Linked DNA regions of Sus scrofa. The protein of the gene in region 3 interacts with the protein of the main gene of each other region in a pairwise test. Links are inferred from orthologs where the notes say so. Each region holds a gene or a part of one and is shown on either strand. Other genes may lie near its edges.

Region 1 (3,852 bases), on a different chromosome or scaffold from region 3:
AAAACTTGGTTTTTAATAGCAGACCATTCCATCTTAATGCTGAGGTGTAATTCATCTGTAATTCTTTGGTTGACCCTTTATTTTGTTTTTGATTTTCTTACTGGGATGAACATCCTTATAGATACCTCCTTAGACACATCTTTAATGACGCTAGAAGGAGAAATTTCTAGAAGTGGTATTACTGGGTCAAAGGTGTGCATATTTTTAAGGCTTTTGATATATATTGTCAGAGTTCCCTCTAGAAAGAGTGCACCAATTTGTATGCTGCCTACAGTATAAAGGTATTTCCAGTTACTTCCACCAGGTCTGAATTGGTGTTATTATCAAGAAAACCCAGGGAGTTCCACAGTGGGTTAAGTAGCCAGTGTTGTCACCGCAGCAGCCCAGATCACTGCTGTGCCCTGTGTTTGATCCTTGGCCGAGAAACTTCCACAGGCTGTGGGCCTGGCCAAAAACAACAAAACAAAACATAACAACCCCCCTCTGAAAGTATCACCGATTGGATTGTGAATTTTGTGTCTCACTGTTTTACATTTCTTCTCAATTTTTCATGAGAGCAAGTATTTCTTTTATTGCTTTTGGTCATTTGTATTTTTTTCTCCTTTCTGCTACCTGCTTATTTCCTTTGCCCACTTTTCTATTGGATTTAGAGCAGGTTTCCTAACTCGGAGAGATGCATTTATCTCCTCAGATCCTGCATTTATTTATTTATTTATCTTTTTAGGGCCACACCTGTGGCATATGGAGGTTCCCAGGCTAGGGTTCAAATTGGAGCCATAGCCACCATACACCATAGCCACAGCAATGCCAGATCCGAGCTGAATCTGTGACCTACGCCACAGCTCATGGTAATGCGGCAGATCCTGCATTTTAAAGGGACGTGGAGCATAAGTGGTGGAGATGAGACAGTGTGGGGCAGGACATGGGGAAAGTGATTGGTATCCAGGATAAGCTACAGGGGCCAGAGGCTGACAGACATGCTTTCATTGGATAGATCTAAGGTCTGCATCTGTGTCTTTGAAAGGGACAGCTGTTCCAGCCAAGGGATGTTTCCTGAAAAGGCATTGCAGCCCCTTCAATTTTTTAAAAGCTTTTCTTTCTGTTTTCTTTTGTTTGTTTGTTTGTTTGTTTGTTTTGTCTTTTCTAGGGCCGTACCTGAGGCATATGGAGGTTCCCAGGCTAGGGGTCTGATCGGAGCTGTTGCCACAGGCCTACACCACAGCCACAGCAACGCCAGATCCAAGCCGCATCTGTGATCTACACCGAAGCTCACAGCAACGCTTGATCCTTAACCCACTGAACGAGGCCAGGGATCGAATCCGCAACCTCATGGTTCCTAGGAGGATTCGTTTCTGCTGCGCCACGGTGGGAGCTCCTTAAAACCTTTTTACTTTGAAGTAATTATAGATTGGGCGGAATGTGCAAAGACAGAGCAGAGGAGTCCTGTCTGTCCTTCATCCGGTTTCCCCTGTCATTTCATTTACATAATCATCGTGATATCCACACCCAAGACCAGCAGTGCAGTGATGTGTGTATAGTTCTGTATCATTTTGTCATAGGTAGATTCATGCCATCATCAGTGCAATTAGGACACAGATGTCCTCTGTCACCTCAGAGATCCCCTTCCTGCTGCCCTTTTATCGTCACACCTGCCCCTAACCCCTGGAGGGATCTCCATCTCACCCCGATCTGTCTGTCGTCCAGCTCTGTCACTTGATTATTTTGAAGATGTGATAGAAATGAAATCATACAGTTGGTGACCTTTGGAGGTTGCCTTTTTCATTTAGCACAGTGCCCCCTAATATCCACGTTGCCATGTGTATCAGATATGTGTTCCTTTTTATTGCTAAAACATTTCAACTTTTTAACCTGCTTTTGGGGTGTGTGTGTGTGTGATTGTCCTCCTCAGGTCACTGGGAAGATGGATGAGAACCAGTTTGTGGCTGTGACCAGCACCAACGCAGCCAAAGTCTTCAACCTGTACCCCCGGAAAGGCCGCATCGCTGTAGGATCCGATGCCGACTTGGTCATCTGGGACCCGGACAGCGTGAAAACCATCTCTGCCAAGACCCATAATAGCGTAAGCCCTGGTCACTTCGTGGACCCAACCCAAATGAATTACAGTCACAGAAAGTGACAGGTGGGGCAATTCCCCTGGATTTACAAAAAGAACTCTGTGATAGGAGTGAACTTTCCCCCAGGAGATGTGATAACTTGCACGTTGCTAAGAAAAACAGCTTTCCTTTTCTTTAGTGAGGTCAGTGAGACTGTTAATCTCTTCCTCACTTTGGAGTATGGTAGCATCTCTTTGCATAGACATCTCTATCTATGGACCTTTAGAGTCTCTGGCTGTCATGCCTGGCCATCAGAAGCTTCTGGAAGTCAGACAGCATTCCATTTTAATAGTTTGATGCAGCACCAAGAGATCCAAATAAAACATTCAGATGTCCACTCCCCAGAAGCCCACTGGCATTCTTATTCTTTGAAGCCACTGTTTTCTCATGTCAGGGTTGTGCCCGGAAGCCTAAAAGGCAGATGGTCTTATGTCCTAAAGGAATGAATTGACTTTGACTTTCCCCCACATAGAATCAGTACTGTGGCAGCTGTTCTCATCAGGCTTTTAGGGTCTGCAGTTCTGGGGTATCTCTTGTTTCTCTGTCTAGACTGCATGCTTGGGAAGACCCTGTCTTGTAAATGGGACCCTGGGCAAGGGACTTCGTGTCATGTCTTGGGCTTGTCGGCTGAGAATGAGGGGTTTAGATGAGGCTCCTGCGTGTTCTGTGATTCTGTGAGGTCAGGGAGAATTAGGTAGAAGTGTTAGTTAGCATTGGTTCTTCATAGAAAAAATTGTGTGTGTGTGTGGTATTGAAAGGACATGGATAAAGGGCAAGCTCTGGAAAAGAAATGGACATAGGTTTTATATGTTTTATGTCAGAAACCCATACAAATCTTTTTTTTTTTTTTTTCCTTTTTTAGGGCCGCGTCCTGTGGCATATGGAGGTTCCCAGGCTAGGGGTCTAGTTGGAGCTGTAGCCACTGGCCTACGCCAGAGCCGCAGCAATGCAGGATCTGAGCCACATCTGTGACCTACACAACAGCTCACGGCAACGCCTGATCCTTAACCCTGAACAAGGCCAGGGATCCAACCTGCAACCTTATGGTTCCTCGTCAGATTCATTAACCACTGCGCCACAATGGGACTCCAGTGAATTCTTTTTTAAAAAAAAAATTTTATTACAGTTGATTTTTAATGTTCTGTCAATTTCTACTGTACAGCAAAGTGACCCAGTTATACATATATACATTGCTTTTCTCATATTTTACATCATGCTCTATCACAAGTGATTAGATACAGTTCCCTGTGCTTTTCAGCAGGACATCTTAGTGAATGAAGAGGCTGTTCTAGATCAAGTTCTAAATTGAAAGCTGGCTTAACAGGGCATCTGATTCTAGATTGCCCGCCCCAGGTGGCCTGGGCCAGCAAGTGCTGACACCTCCTCCAAGGGCTGCGACAGCTCCGGGGGCTGGGAAGGTGTCTGGCATTGCTCCAGGACAGCGCTGGGCCCTTGGCCGAATCCTGGTCCCCTTTGCCATTTAGAGGTGTTTGGGCTGCACTGGTACCTGTGGTGCAGAGATGGAGGGTAACTTCAGAGAAGGATGCTCAGCTCTCAGTATGAAGAGTTGACTTTTTCATTCTTCCTCACTGACTGGCTGAGCTTTGCAGCAGAGCCTTACAGCCACACTGATGTGTGACTTCGTTCACAACCTCTCAGGGGTCCGGAAGGGGCTGCTTTTATGGGCAGGGGTCCCAGGGCCCTGCTTGGGGTACTACCTCTTCATATGCATTTAACA
Region 2 (3,852 bases), on a different chromosome or scaffold from region 3:
GGTTTGTATTTATAAATATTATAATGATTATGTTAGATGACCTAGAGTAGAAATCCCAGATGAGAGATCATTTAGGAGGCTGTCGATACAATGTTACAGTGGTAAGGACAGCTAAAAAGGGATACAGAGGAGAGAGTAAAATTGATGAGACAGAAATGACAGTTTATGGGGGAAGAGGAAAGTTAACTTCCAGGTTTCTGACCTGTGTGATTGAGAAGATGATAAAACACTGGTAATAAAGCAGCAGCAGTTTGGGGGGTGGGGAGGAGGGCAGATAATGAGTTCATTTTGGACATGTTTTATAGTCTAGGTACCTGTGGGATGTCTTGGAAGAGATCATTTCCAAGCAGTTGGAAATATAGATCTAGAGCTTAGCAGAGAGTTCTGAGTTGAAGGTAGAGATTTGGGAATTCATCTCACATTGGCAATAATACTAGCAACCTGTGCAGTGGCATGTATACATATATATATATAAAGTGATACATAAAGTATATATAAAAATGGAAACTATAAGCATGGATGACACTGCTGGGAATATGTAGTGTGAAGAGAGACCGAGGATGAGACTCATTACTTACGGTGGAATAACATGAAGTCCTTTCTGGATTCCCATCTTGGCTCTGCCACTTTATCAGCTATGGGCCTTGGGAAATTGACTTCTTTGTATCTGTTCCTTTGTAAAGCAGGAGTAGTAACAGTACCTAACTCACAGGGTGTTTTTGTATTAAATGGTATAATACATGCACCACACTTAGAACCCTGCCTTGGTGCTATTATTAAATGGAGGAGGCAGTGAAGAAAGTCAGGAATGGATCAGAGACATAGAAATGGGGTATCACAGATGCTAGGGGAAGAGGGTTTCTAGGAATAAGTAGTCAACAGGGTCAGGTGCTGCAGAAGTCAGGTAAGATTTGGGTTAAAAAAAAAGTCACAGAATTTTGAAAGTGGAAAATAATTGGTAACATTTGAAAGGAATGTAGGACTAGTAGATGGAAAAACCAGAAAACATTCCGGTGAGGAAAAGTGAGCAATAACAAAGGAACATGTATAGATTTAGGTTCCTGGGCAGTTTGGTGGTGAAGGGAAATAATGTAGCTCGAGGGAAAAGCTGATTTGGGAAAGGGTTGTTTTTTATTATTTTTGCTTTTAGGAGATTTTAGATATGAGCATGTTTTTAGGATTGAAAAAGAAAGCAAGTGGAAGATAAATTGAAGATGACAGAGAAGCCAGAGCCCTAGAGGGCTAGGTTCAGCAGCACAGGTTAGCTTTCAGAAGGAAAAGAGCACATCTTGCTCTGAGAAAATAGTTGTGGATACAGGTGATTCACTTAAGTTTTTTTTTGTTTTTGTTTTTTGTTTTTTTTTTTTAAATCAGGGGGGTGGGTAGGAATTGAGGGAATTCAGGCCTGATAATTTTAATTTTCTTTGCAGTAGGAAAGTAGGCTATCTACTATCAACCAATAACTTCATTGGAAGGAATTGAAAAATGTGATAAATATTTGGAAAGCTCATGGAATAAAATAGGGGACTAAATAGGAGACTAAATAGGGACAAGAAAAAGGACTCCTGAGCAGAGTTCAACTCTACTTAGAAATGACACTTAACACTTTAAAAATAAAAAACTTTTCAACAGTTTTCCCCCCATGAGCCCTCCAGATTTATGATCCAAAGCTGACAGTGACATGATGTTTCTAGCATATGGAGCAAGGAGATTGAAGACAAAAGGATATTGCTTTTTCTACTATGAAATGGATAATCATGCCCTCCTACCAAATTTGGGGGTGAAATGTCATGAATTTGACATCCAACAGTAGAGCAGGTGAAAAGCCAGAATTTTGGCAGCATTTTCTCTATGAAAATCTTTGTATGTTCTGTTCCAAACTAACAGTTGCAGTAGCCTTTTAATTGAAACACTAAAACAAGGTTTTTGGGAACAGTATGACTCAGATCACATTTATTTTTAGAGCTGGAATTCAGAAAATAATGATGATAATAATACAGTCAGGTGGAATAAGGGATGAGAAATTCAGTAAAGTGGATTGGTGGAATACACTCAATCCCCATGATTGTTATAATTAGCTCTAATAGGCTATTGGGAGGTGTCATGGTATAGAAGTGAAGTTGATGAAATCAAAAACCCTTACTTGAGGAAGGTGGTTCTGGCTAATACATGAAAAAGACTAGTTTCCGGGAGTTCCCTTCATGGCTCAGTGGTTAACGAACCTGACTAGGATCCATGAGGATGCGGGTTCGATCCCTGGCCTCGCTCTGTGGGTTAAGGATCCAGCATCACTGTGAGCTGTGGTATAGGTTGCAGACATGGCTTGGATCCTGTGTGGCTGTGGCTGTGGCAAAAGCCAGCGGCTAGAGCTCCAATTCACCCCCTAGCCTGGGAACCTCCATATGCCACAGTGTGCCCCCCCCCCAAAAAAAAGACTGGTTTTCTACCTTATAGATAAACTAACCCAGGTAATTAAATATTAAGTAACTGCTGTTCAGGGAATCCCATCATGCAACCTGCTGGATAGGGCATATGGCCCACAGTGGTTCAAGCAGAGGGCCTATTTGAGGATTAAACAGGGATGTAAAGTGCTGGAGAGAACCTTACCTAGTAGAACCTATAACAGATACCAGAAACAGTGATAACATGGCCACATCATTTAAGTATACTTATGTTCATTTCATCTTCCCCTAGTCAAAAAGTTCAGTTTTAATACAATAAAAAGGGTAGTAATTGAGGAGAGTTTGTAAGTAACAAGTACTGCAATCTAGAGCCAGGCAGTGTGACTCCATTGCTCACATCATTAACCACTAAAGCTATGACTACTTCAAGAATGTTAAAGCACCTTGTAAAAATCTTTTTAAACTACTGTGTATGCATGAATTATGATACCCTAATCCAGAAACATCCTTTTTTTTTTAATGTAAAGAACTCAATGAATATCCACTGTAGCAGTAAAAGGTTACTCAGTAGGAGTAGGATCCTTTTGCTAAGGTTTTCTCCAGGTACTAAGAAAACAGTGAATGTAAACAACCAGTGGATCTGGAAGTGGTTTAGATCTGAAAGTTCCAAAGTGCACTGTAGATGATCAATTATCTCAGTATGTAGCTGGGCCCGAGGGTCTCCAGTGTACTGCCACTCCAAGCACTCAATATTCAACTACAAATTACTTCCTAACAGTTGCCTCTGAGTTTTTGCTGACATTTTCCCTTCAACTAAAAGGCCCTTCTTTGCCTAGGACATTTGAGCTGGCCATAAACATTCTTAATGCAAAATAACCCTACATCTGACCTATTTTATAATTCTCACAGGAGATGCTGAACATAAGCCATATATCTGTGGGGATGCAGATTCTGCTTCTACTGTTCTGGATGGAACTGAAGACTACCTCATTCTGGCCTGTGATGGCTTCTATGATACCGTGAACCCTGATGAGGCAGTGAAAGTTGTGTCTGACCACTTGAAGGAGAATAATGGAGACAGCAGCATGGTTGCCCACAAATTAGTGGCATCAGCTCGTGATGCTGGGTCAAGTGATAACATCACTGTTATTGTGGTATTCCTGAGGGACATGAACAAAGCTGTAAATGTTAGTGAGGAATCAGATTGGACAGAGAACTCTTTTCAAGGAGGGCAAGAAGATGGTGGGGATGATAAGGAGAATCATGGAGAGTGCAAACGCCCTTGGCCTCAGCACCAGTGTTCAGCACCAGCCGATCTAGGCTATGATGGGCGCGTGGATTCATTCACTGATAGAACTAGCCTGAGCCCAGGGTCCCAAATCAACGTGCTGGAAGACCCAGGCTACCTAGATCTCACACAGATAGAAGCAAGCAAACCTCACAGTGCCCA
Region 3 (3,852 bases):
AAGATGCCACTGACTTCTCTGATTCTTTTTCTCAAAGCTCTGTTTACTAGCGAACTTCTTAGGCAAGAACAGGCCAAACTAAATGAAGCAAGAAAGATTTCAGTGGTAAACGTAAACCCAACCAACATTCGGCCTCATAGCGACACGCCAGAAATCAGAAAATACAAGAAGCGATTCAACTCAGAAATACTTTGTGCAGCTCTGTGGGGTGAGTTGGTGCTTTTTACTGTTCATTAATGAATTGACCCTCAAACGTGAAAAGCCTATGGGTCTTAACCATCAGAAGGGTGCTGACTGAATTGGGTGTTAGACTTGGGATCATCTTGACCTCAGGAAAGTTCGAAAACAATATTATATGGAGAAAGAGCTAATACCCTAATTCCCAGGATAACAGAATGGGACTCGGAATGACCTTGTCATGTAATAGTGATGGACTAAAGCCAACAACAGGACTAGCTACCATTCAGTACCTACCCCTGTGTGCCCAGCTCTAGGTGATGTGCTCCACATTCTGTCTCCCTGATGCATACAACATTCTACAAGGGGATGTGACCCCTTGTAGAAGAAAAGCAGCCCAGAATCTATCAGTGAATTGTCAAAAGCCATACCAGTAAGAGTAGCAAGATAAAACCTGAAAAGGGCGACAAATGATGAGTCTTCCATTTTAGTTCAAAACATCAACCTGCAGTTCTTATAAAAAAGATCTGCAGGTTTGAGATGACCTCAGACTCAGGATAGGTGTGATGAGAGCCTATCAAAATCCTGGTCTGTGTTACCATAAACATCAAGAGAGGACATGGCCCATCTGTACCCACATATCACACTAGGCCTAGTTCAGGGCACCACCATTTTACAAGGGCAAACGCATTTGAGATGTTAGCAGGGCCGAGCATGAAACCTAGAAGCTATTTCATGGGAAATGTGGTCAAGCCTGTGGTTGAAACACTTGATGGTTGAAAGACATGTGTCATGGTTTCTATGAACATGTGGTTGAAAGAGCAGACCTTCATGTTACTTAGAAGAAAGTTGTACAATAAGCCAGAGAAGTTGGACATTTACCTGTTTGTGAATATAGGCCATTGTATAGTCGACCTCCCAGCATGTGTACACGTCTGTGTGTGTGGTGAGAGTGCACGGGGTGCTCATTTGCCTAAGGATGAATCTTCAGGATCGTAGCTATTCAGACAAGACCACTTACCTACCTACCGGAGTTTTTGTAACAGGAATTAACTGCATGGGAGGTGGACTGGTCTAGAATCACAGTCAGTATTTGCCTGACCCTCAGGCCCTTAACACCTTCACTTGAATTGGCTCATCATGTCCCCAGCAAAGGGTGTAGGACACAAATTAAGCCTTGGTGTGAGGAGGAGGGAGGGCTTTTCCTCCTGTAGGATATGGGAGGAGGGCATCTATGCCCAAGGTGGGTAGGCTGGAAATCACTGCATGAATAGGAGTGAGGTGAACCTTGGGGAAGTCTCGGGAGGATTTAAAGAGAGAGCCAAGAAAAGGGTGGGTGTTACAGGAAAGGAATCAAGGTAAACTGTGTCAGCTTCACAGCTGTGCCTCAGGCCCCTCTTGAGAAAAATTCTATTCTAGGTAGTACAGAGCTACCTGTAATGAACGCTGCTGCCACTTCATAAAAGAGAACTAATTTCGTTACCAGAGGGATGGTGATTTAATTACTGTCTCAGAGTTTCTACTTCTCCACTCCCTACTGTAGTGCCTGCTTGCCCGTTAGTTTATATTTGCAAGGGAGTTTCTTAGGTTTTTTACGGGGACCCTAGATGTAGAAGAGTAAAGCCCATAAGAGTCAGTCTTGGGGGGCTTCTTCAATTTGCAGGTGTAAATCTCCTGGTGGGAACCGAAAATGGCCTGATGCTTTTGGACCGAAGTGGGCAAGGCAAAGTTTATAATCTGATCAACCGGAGGCGGTTTCAGCAGATGGATGTGCTAGAGGGACTGAATGTCCTCGTGACAATATCAGGTACGTCGCTGGATGGCCGAGTCCTCCGGGTCTGCGCAGGTGGGAAAGGCAATCACCTTGCTTCTGAAGGAACAGCAAGCTCTGCCCTTCCCACGCAGCGAGCTGAATTACGGCAGCAGAGCCAGAGTGACATCACCCACGTTTTGTCACTCTAGAGGTTCTCACCTTCAAAGGGAAGTCTCTCACCTCTGCCTGAAATCTGAATCAGGACATAGCACAAAGGCTGTGCACTTAAGGGCCCGAATGCTCTGCCGGGACTCAGCAAGGATCTTTTTAAGGTGTCTACATGCTGGTCACTGCCATCTACTCTCAGATGCAAGTATAAAAAAGTAGGCTTCTGGGAGTGAGGAGTTTTGTAAGCAGAAATTTCTCTGGGCTCCTTTCTAGTTCACTGACACCTTGGTAAATGCAGCTGGCCCATTGAGTGATTGAGTCTGCAAGGTGATTTGAATGTAGGAATCATTATGGCTACACTGCAGCTTTCTGGTTCCCCAAAAGAGCTTCAAAAAAGATGGAGACAGAAGTGAAGGCTTTATTAATGACAAGTTAAAAATGTGACCTGAAGGAGTCCATGTTTACTGGAAGTTTTTTTTTGGGGGGGTGTGTGAAGGCATTTAATAAATAACAACCCTCTCTTCCCTTCCCCTCCCATCCCATCCAGTATGAAACTGACTGTCCCCCATGCATTAGAACCCCATGAGGAGATGTGCAAAATCCAGGATGTGCCTCAGACTAGCGGGTCAGAATCTCAGGGCCTGTGGTCCAGGTCTCAGAAGCTTTCATAGCACCTGAGGCATTTCCACTGTGCAGCCATGCCTGAGAACCAGCCATTGTTTCACAAAGAGAAACCGAGCTAAGGTGGGGTGGGGGGTGGCGGGGGGGGCAGTTCACCCCCTCTGTGCCAACACAGATCAGAGGGCAGTTCAAGAATCTTTGGCTCCTATTTCCGTTTTCCTCTTTCCCTACCAATGGAAAGAAGAACCTGGATCGAACCCTGAATAAAGTTTAACTCTACAGCTGCATTTCTGTTTTGAGAAAATGCCTTCATTTGCAGTTCCCTCTTTCTTTGACCTTTCCACTGAATACTCAGAGGTTTCATCTCTTTTTATTCTCCCCAAATAAAGGTGAACCCAGTAAATTCTTCTTGTCCTATCATTCGAGTTCAATTCAGTGTAGTCCTTTATCCTGGTTAATGCTTTCTTGATTGCTGCACTACCAATTCAAATATATCTGCCAGTCACCTACCAAAAGTGGAAATGATAGAAGAAAATTCATGGTTAGGCCTCATTGTGTTGTTAGTGACAGATCCCATTTTTAAAAGTATAACAGTTTCCTGCACGTTGGTAGGGAAAGAAGAAAATGGAAATAGGAGCCAAAGATTCTTGAACTGCCCTCTGATCTGTGTTGGCCCAGAGAGAAGGAAGCACCCCCACCCTCCTCCCACCCACCTTAGCTGTTGGGGTCCATGCATAATCAGTGCTTTCAGTTATAAAAGAATAGTAACTGCACAGGGGTTCCCTTAATTTAAGTTATAAACGTGCTCTCTTGTCAAATCCAGTGTGCAGTGCTTTAGTGAATCTGTTTTTCTGGTGTATATTACATCTGCAACTTATAAAACATGTTTTGATGCCTAAGAGAAATCAAAGGAAAATAAGGACCCAAGAAGTATACCCCACAGGCCTGAATTACTGATCACGTGGTAAAAGCCACCCCAAGGGACATGTTCTTATCTGGTATTTGTACAATCTTAGATCGTATATTAAGTTTTTCTCCTTACTTACTCCTTAATGTTTTTAAGATGTTTTCATATCATACTAAGAATTCTTTTCTTCCTTTTTTTTTTGTTTTTGTTTTTGTTTTTGCTTTTT
Region 4 (3,852 bases), on a different chromosome or scaffold from region 3:
AAAAGAAATAGAGGGGGAGGGGTTGAGGGGAGACAGGTGGTCTGGGACCCAAAGAAGAGCTAGGGGGAGGGGCCGGGGCCAAGGCATCAAAGTCCGGGGTCCCGGGCGGCGTGGGCCCACGTGGAGCCGGCGCTGAATCACTGCTGGGCTGTCTTCACCCCCCATCCCCCGGCCCGGTGCCCGCAGTCCCCGCCTCCTCGGCCGCCGCCTCCACGGGGCGGGGCCCTGGCCCGGGACCAGCCGCCGCGGCTATAAATGGGCTGCGGCGAGGCCAGCAGAACGCTGTGACAGCCACACGCCCCGAGGCCTCCAAGATGAGCTACACACTGGACTCGCTGGGCAACCCGTCCGCCTACCGGCGGGGAACCGAGACCCGCTCGAGCTTCAGCCGCGTTAGCGGCTCCCCTTCCAGCGGCTTCCGCTCGCAGTCGTGGTCCCGAGGCTCGCCCAGCACAGTGTCCTCCTCCTACAAGCGCAGCGCTCTAGCCCCGCGCCTCACCTACAGCTCGGCCATGCTCAGCTCCGCCGAGAGCAGCCTCGACTTCAGCCAGTCCTCCTCCCTGCTCAACGGCGGTTCCGGGCCGGGCGGCGACTACAAGCTGTCCCGCTCCAACGAGAAGGAGCAGCTGCAGGGGCTGAACGACCGCTTCGCGGGCTACATCGAGAAGGTGCACTACCTGGAGCAGCAGAACAAGGAGATCGAGGCGGAGATCCAGGCGCTGCGGCAGAAGCAGGCCTCGCACGCCCAGCTGGGCGACGCGTATGACCAGGAGATCCGTGAGCTGCGCGCCACACTCGAGCTGGTGAACCACGAGAAGGCTCAGGTACAGCTGGACTCGGACCACCTGGAAGAAGACATCCACCGACTCAAGGAGCGCTTCGAGGAGGAGGCACGGCTGCGCGACGACACCGAGGCGGCCATCCGCGCGCTGCGCAAAGACATCGAGGAGGCGTCGCTGGTCAAGGTGGAGCTGGACAAGAAAGTGCAGTCGCTGCAGGATGAGGTGGCCTTCTTGCGGAGCAATCACGAAGAGGAGGTGGCCGACCTGCTGGCTCAGATCCAGGCGTCGCACATCACGGTGGAGCGCAAAGATTACCTGAAGACTGACATCTCGTCGGCGCTGAAAGAGATCCGCTCCCAACTCGAGTGCCACTCCGACCAAAACATGCACCAGGCCGAAGAGTGGTTTAAATGCCGCTACGCCAAGCTCACCGAGGCTGCCGAGCAGAACAAGGAGGCCATCCGCTCCGCCAAGGAAGAGATCGCCGAGTACCGGCGCCAGCTGCAGTCCAAGAGCATCGAGCTCGAGTCAGTTCGAGGCACCAAGGAGTCCCTGGAGCGACAGCTCAGCGACATCGAGGAGCGCCACAACCACGACCTTAGCAGCTACCAGGTAAGAACCGCGGCTGCGCGGCCAGCCTGCGCCAGCGCCAGCGCCGCGCGCCCCCGACACTCAGGCCCGCGCCCCGCCGCTCTCTCTGCCGCGCTCCCTAGTGGCCGCTGTCCAGTGCGCGCGCGCGCGACGCAGACCCAAGTTAGAGGCTCAAAGCGTCCTCGCCCCTCCCCATCCCTTTCACCCCCCTCCCCAACGCACCATCCCTAGCTCTGAGAGCCCTGACCTTTTTCAAAACGCGCTTCTTTTCCTCGGGAGTTCTAGTTTTGCACGCTTGCGCATTTAAAGTAGGAGGTATACATTTGAGTAGTTGATAAAGCAGCAACTTTAGGATAGCTGTGCAGAAACTCATATATTCTCAACTTTTCCAGCCGTGATCGGAAGAACTCCCCCAATTGGCTTCAGCCCAAAGGGCTCAGATGGGAAGGGCCAGGTCAGCCGTGGGGTTTCCCCATGCATGTTTGTTTCCTGCTGAGACGTGTTCTAGATCCGCTGGTCCCAGTGCGTGATGTGCCCAGGAAATGTCTAGTTGTCTTATTGATCCTGTTTGTTGTTTGTTTGTGAATTCCTGAGGTTTTTATTTTAAGAGGGGTGGTCTGGGGGCGGTATGAGAGGTTGGCCAAGCAGGAGGGAGTTAAGGGAGGTGGGGGGGGGGGCGGAGAAGGAGGGAGTAGCAAGTGTTTTGCCAAAGAAGCGGCCATTTGGAAGGATGAGTCTGTGGCTGTGTCTGTTTCAGGACACCATCCAGCAGTTGGAAAATGAGCTTCGGGGCACAAAGTGGGAAATGGCTCGTCATTTGCGAGAATACCAGGATCTCCTCAACGTCAAGATGGCTTTGGATATCGAGATTGCTGCGTACAGGTACCATGCTCACTGTGGACTGGCAAAATACTAACCGTACTGCAGAGGCTGGACAGAACCTGCACCACTTAAGTTAAAGCAATCAGGCTTCAGGAATCTTAAATCAGTGCCGGGTTTTCTTTCTTAATTAAAAAGTAATTTCTCTAAAGAATTGCAACTTTTTATGCAGCTTTAAAAGAGTAAACATTAGTTAAAATAAAGTGTTTTGAGGGAGGGCACTTATTAATTTCAGTGCTTAAACTTTTGCTTATTTTAGCTAAAATGTTCTCTGAATATTTGAAATAAAAACAATTTTAGTTTTTAATATTTCATCTAGCGCTTTCAGCTTTTCAACTTTATCATGTCAAGGACAAACATCAGGACATTCCATTTCTGTTTCTCTGTGACAGCTTGCTGTTGCCATCATCTGGCTGAGAAGGAATGTAGATTGATAGAATATATGTTTTTCATTTAGATTTAGATTTATAGATCTAAATATATATCCAGAGATAGAAAGATTAGAAATCTATTAACTGTTAAATCTATTAAATCTATTCATTGATGTCACCTTACCATTGACTAAGTTCATAGTTGAAAATCCTTCACTAAACAGTTTTTTTCAAACTACCAATAAAGTCAGTAATATTACAAGAATAAATTGCACTCAACTAAGAACCATCTATATTTTCAGGAAGGCTGACAAATTACAGGCTGACAAATTTTATGATTAAAATTACAGGCCAATTTATAACTTGATACACATATTAGCACTTAGATATGATATATATATATATATATATATATATATATATATATAGCCTGAATTCTGATATATGCTAAATAGCTTTGTAAAACTTTTGAGTATTATATTTGCTAAAAGACATTTAGTAGATATCTGAAAATCCAAATACTCAAGAAGGTCACTTAAAAGTTTTTTCGGCCCCTACAGAGCTCTTCAGAATATTGTCTTGTACCAAATGGGCTTCGGCAGAGCTGAGATTTGATAGCTGGGTGAAGGTAGTAAACTATTGGGCATGGTTAGTTATTGCATTGAGTGATTGGCTGATTGTCCCTGAGATCTGTCTCTGTCATTGACTATGACAGTGAAATGATAGCAGGTATTACTTCTTGTGATTCTCTTTATTCAAAGGTACCTACCACATTAGCCAAAATGTAATGAAGTTCAAAAAGCCTGGTGAGATTTTAATTATGCCTTGTCTTCTTCAATTACCTCCTCAGGAAACTTCTGGAGGGTGAAGAGACCAGATTTAGCACATTTGCAGGAAGCATCACTGGGCCTCTGTATACACACCGACAGCCCTCCATCACAATATCCAGTAAGATTCAGAAAACCAAGGTGGAGGCTCCCAAGCTAAAGGTCCAACACAAATTTGTTGAGGAGATCATAGAGGAAACCAAGGTGGAGGATGAGAAATCAGAAATGGAAGAAGCCCTGACTGCCATTGCGGAGGAATTGGCAGTTTCCATGAAAGAGGAGGTCAAGGAAGAAGAGGCTGAAGAAAAGGAAGAGAAACAAGAAGCTGAAGAAGTTGTAGCTGCGAAGAAGTCTCCGGTGAAAGCTGCTGCACCTGAACTTAAAGGAGAGGAGGAAGGAGAA

What was found.
Region 1: the proteins of TNIK (region 3) and DPYSL2 interact in a two-hybrid assay, tested with the Homo sapiens proteins (2 studies listed by BioGRID and IntAct). The link is inferred for Sus scrofa from reciprocal best matches to the Homo sapiens genes TNIK and DPYSL2.
Region 2: the proteins of TNIK (region 3) and PPM1E interact in a two-hybrid assay, tested with the Homo sapiens proteins (2 studies listed by BioGRID and IntAct). The link is inferred for Sus scrofa from reciprocal best matches to the Homo sapiens genes TNIK and PPM1E.
Region 4: the proteins of TNIK (region 3) and NEFM interact in a two-hybrid assay, tested with the Homo sapiens proteins (2 studies listed by BioGRID and IntAct). The link is inferred for Sus scrofa from reciprocal best matches to the Homo sapiens genes TNIK and NEFM.

What each region holds. Positions count from the first base shown.
Region 1 is NC_010456.5:10,532,901-10,536,752, forward strand, and holds part of DPYSL2 (dihydropyrimidinase-related protein 2), read left to right. Parts: intron 1-1,909; coding exon 1,910-2,080; intron 2,081-3,852.
Region 2 is NC_010454.4:35,254,239-35,258,090, forward strand, and holds part of PPM1E (protein phosphatase 1E), read left to right. Parts: intron 1-3,311; coding exon 3,312-3,852. UniProt on the Homo sapiens protein: Protein phosphatase that inactivates multifunctional CaM kinases such as CAMK4 and CAMK2. Dephosphorylates and inactivates PAK. May play a role in the inhibition of actin fiber stress breakdown and in morphological changes driven by TNK2/CDC42.
Region 3 is NC_010455.5:109,660,569-109,664,420, reverse strand, and holds part of TNIK (TRAF2 and NCK-interacting protein kinase), read left to right. Parts: intron 1-37; coding exon 38-208; intron 209-1,840; coding exon 1,841-1,984; intron 1,985-3,852. UniProt on the Homo sapiens protein: Serine/threonine kinase that acts as an essential activator of the Wnt signaling pathway. Recruited to promoters of Wnt target genes and required to activate their expression. May act by phosphorylating TCF4/TCF7L2.
Region 4 is NC_010456.5:8,961,649-8,965,500, forward strand, and holds part of NEFM (neurofilament medium polypeptide), read left to right. Parts: 5' UTR 1-314; coding exon 315-1,394; intron 1,395-2,130; coding exon 2,131-2,255; intron 2,256-3,473; coding exon 3,474-3,852. UniProt on the Homo sapiens protein: Neurofilaments usually contain three intermediate filament proteins: NEFL, NEFM, and NEFH which are involved in the maintenance of neuronal caliber.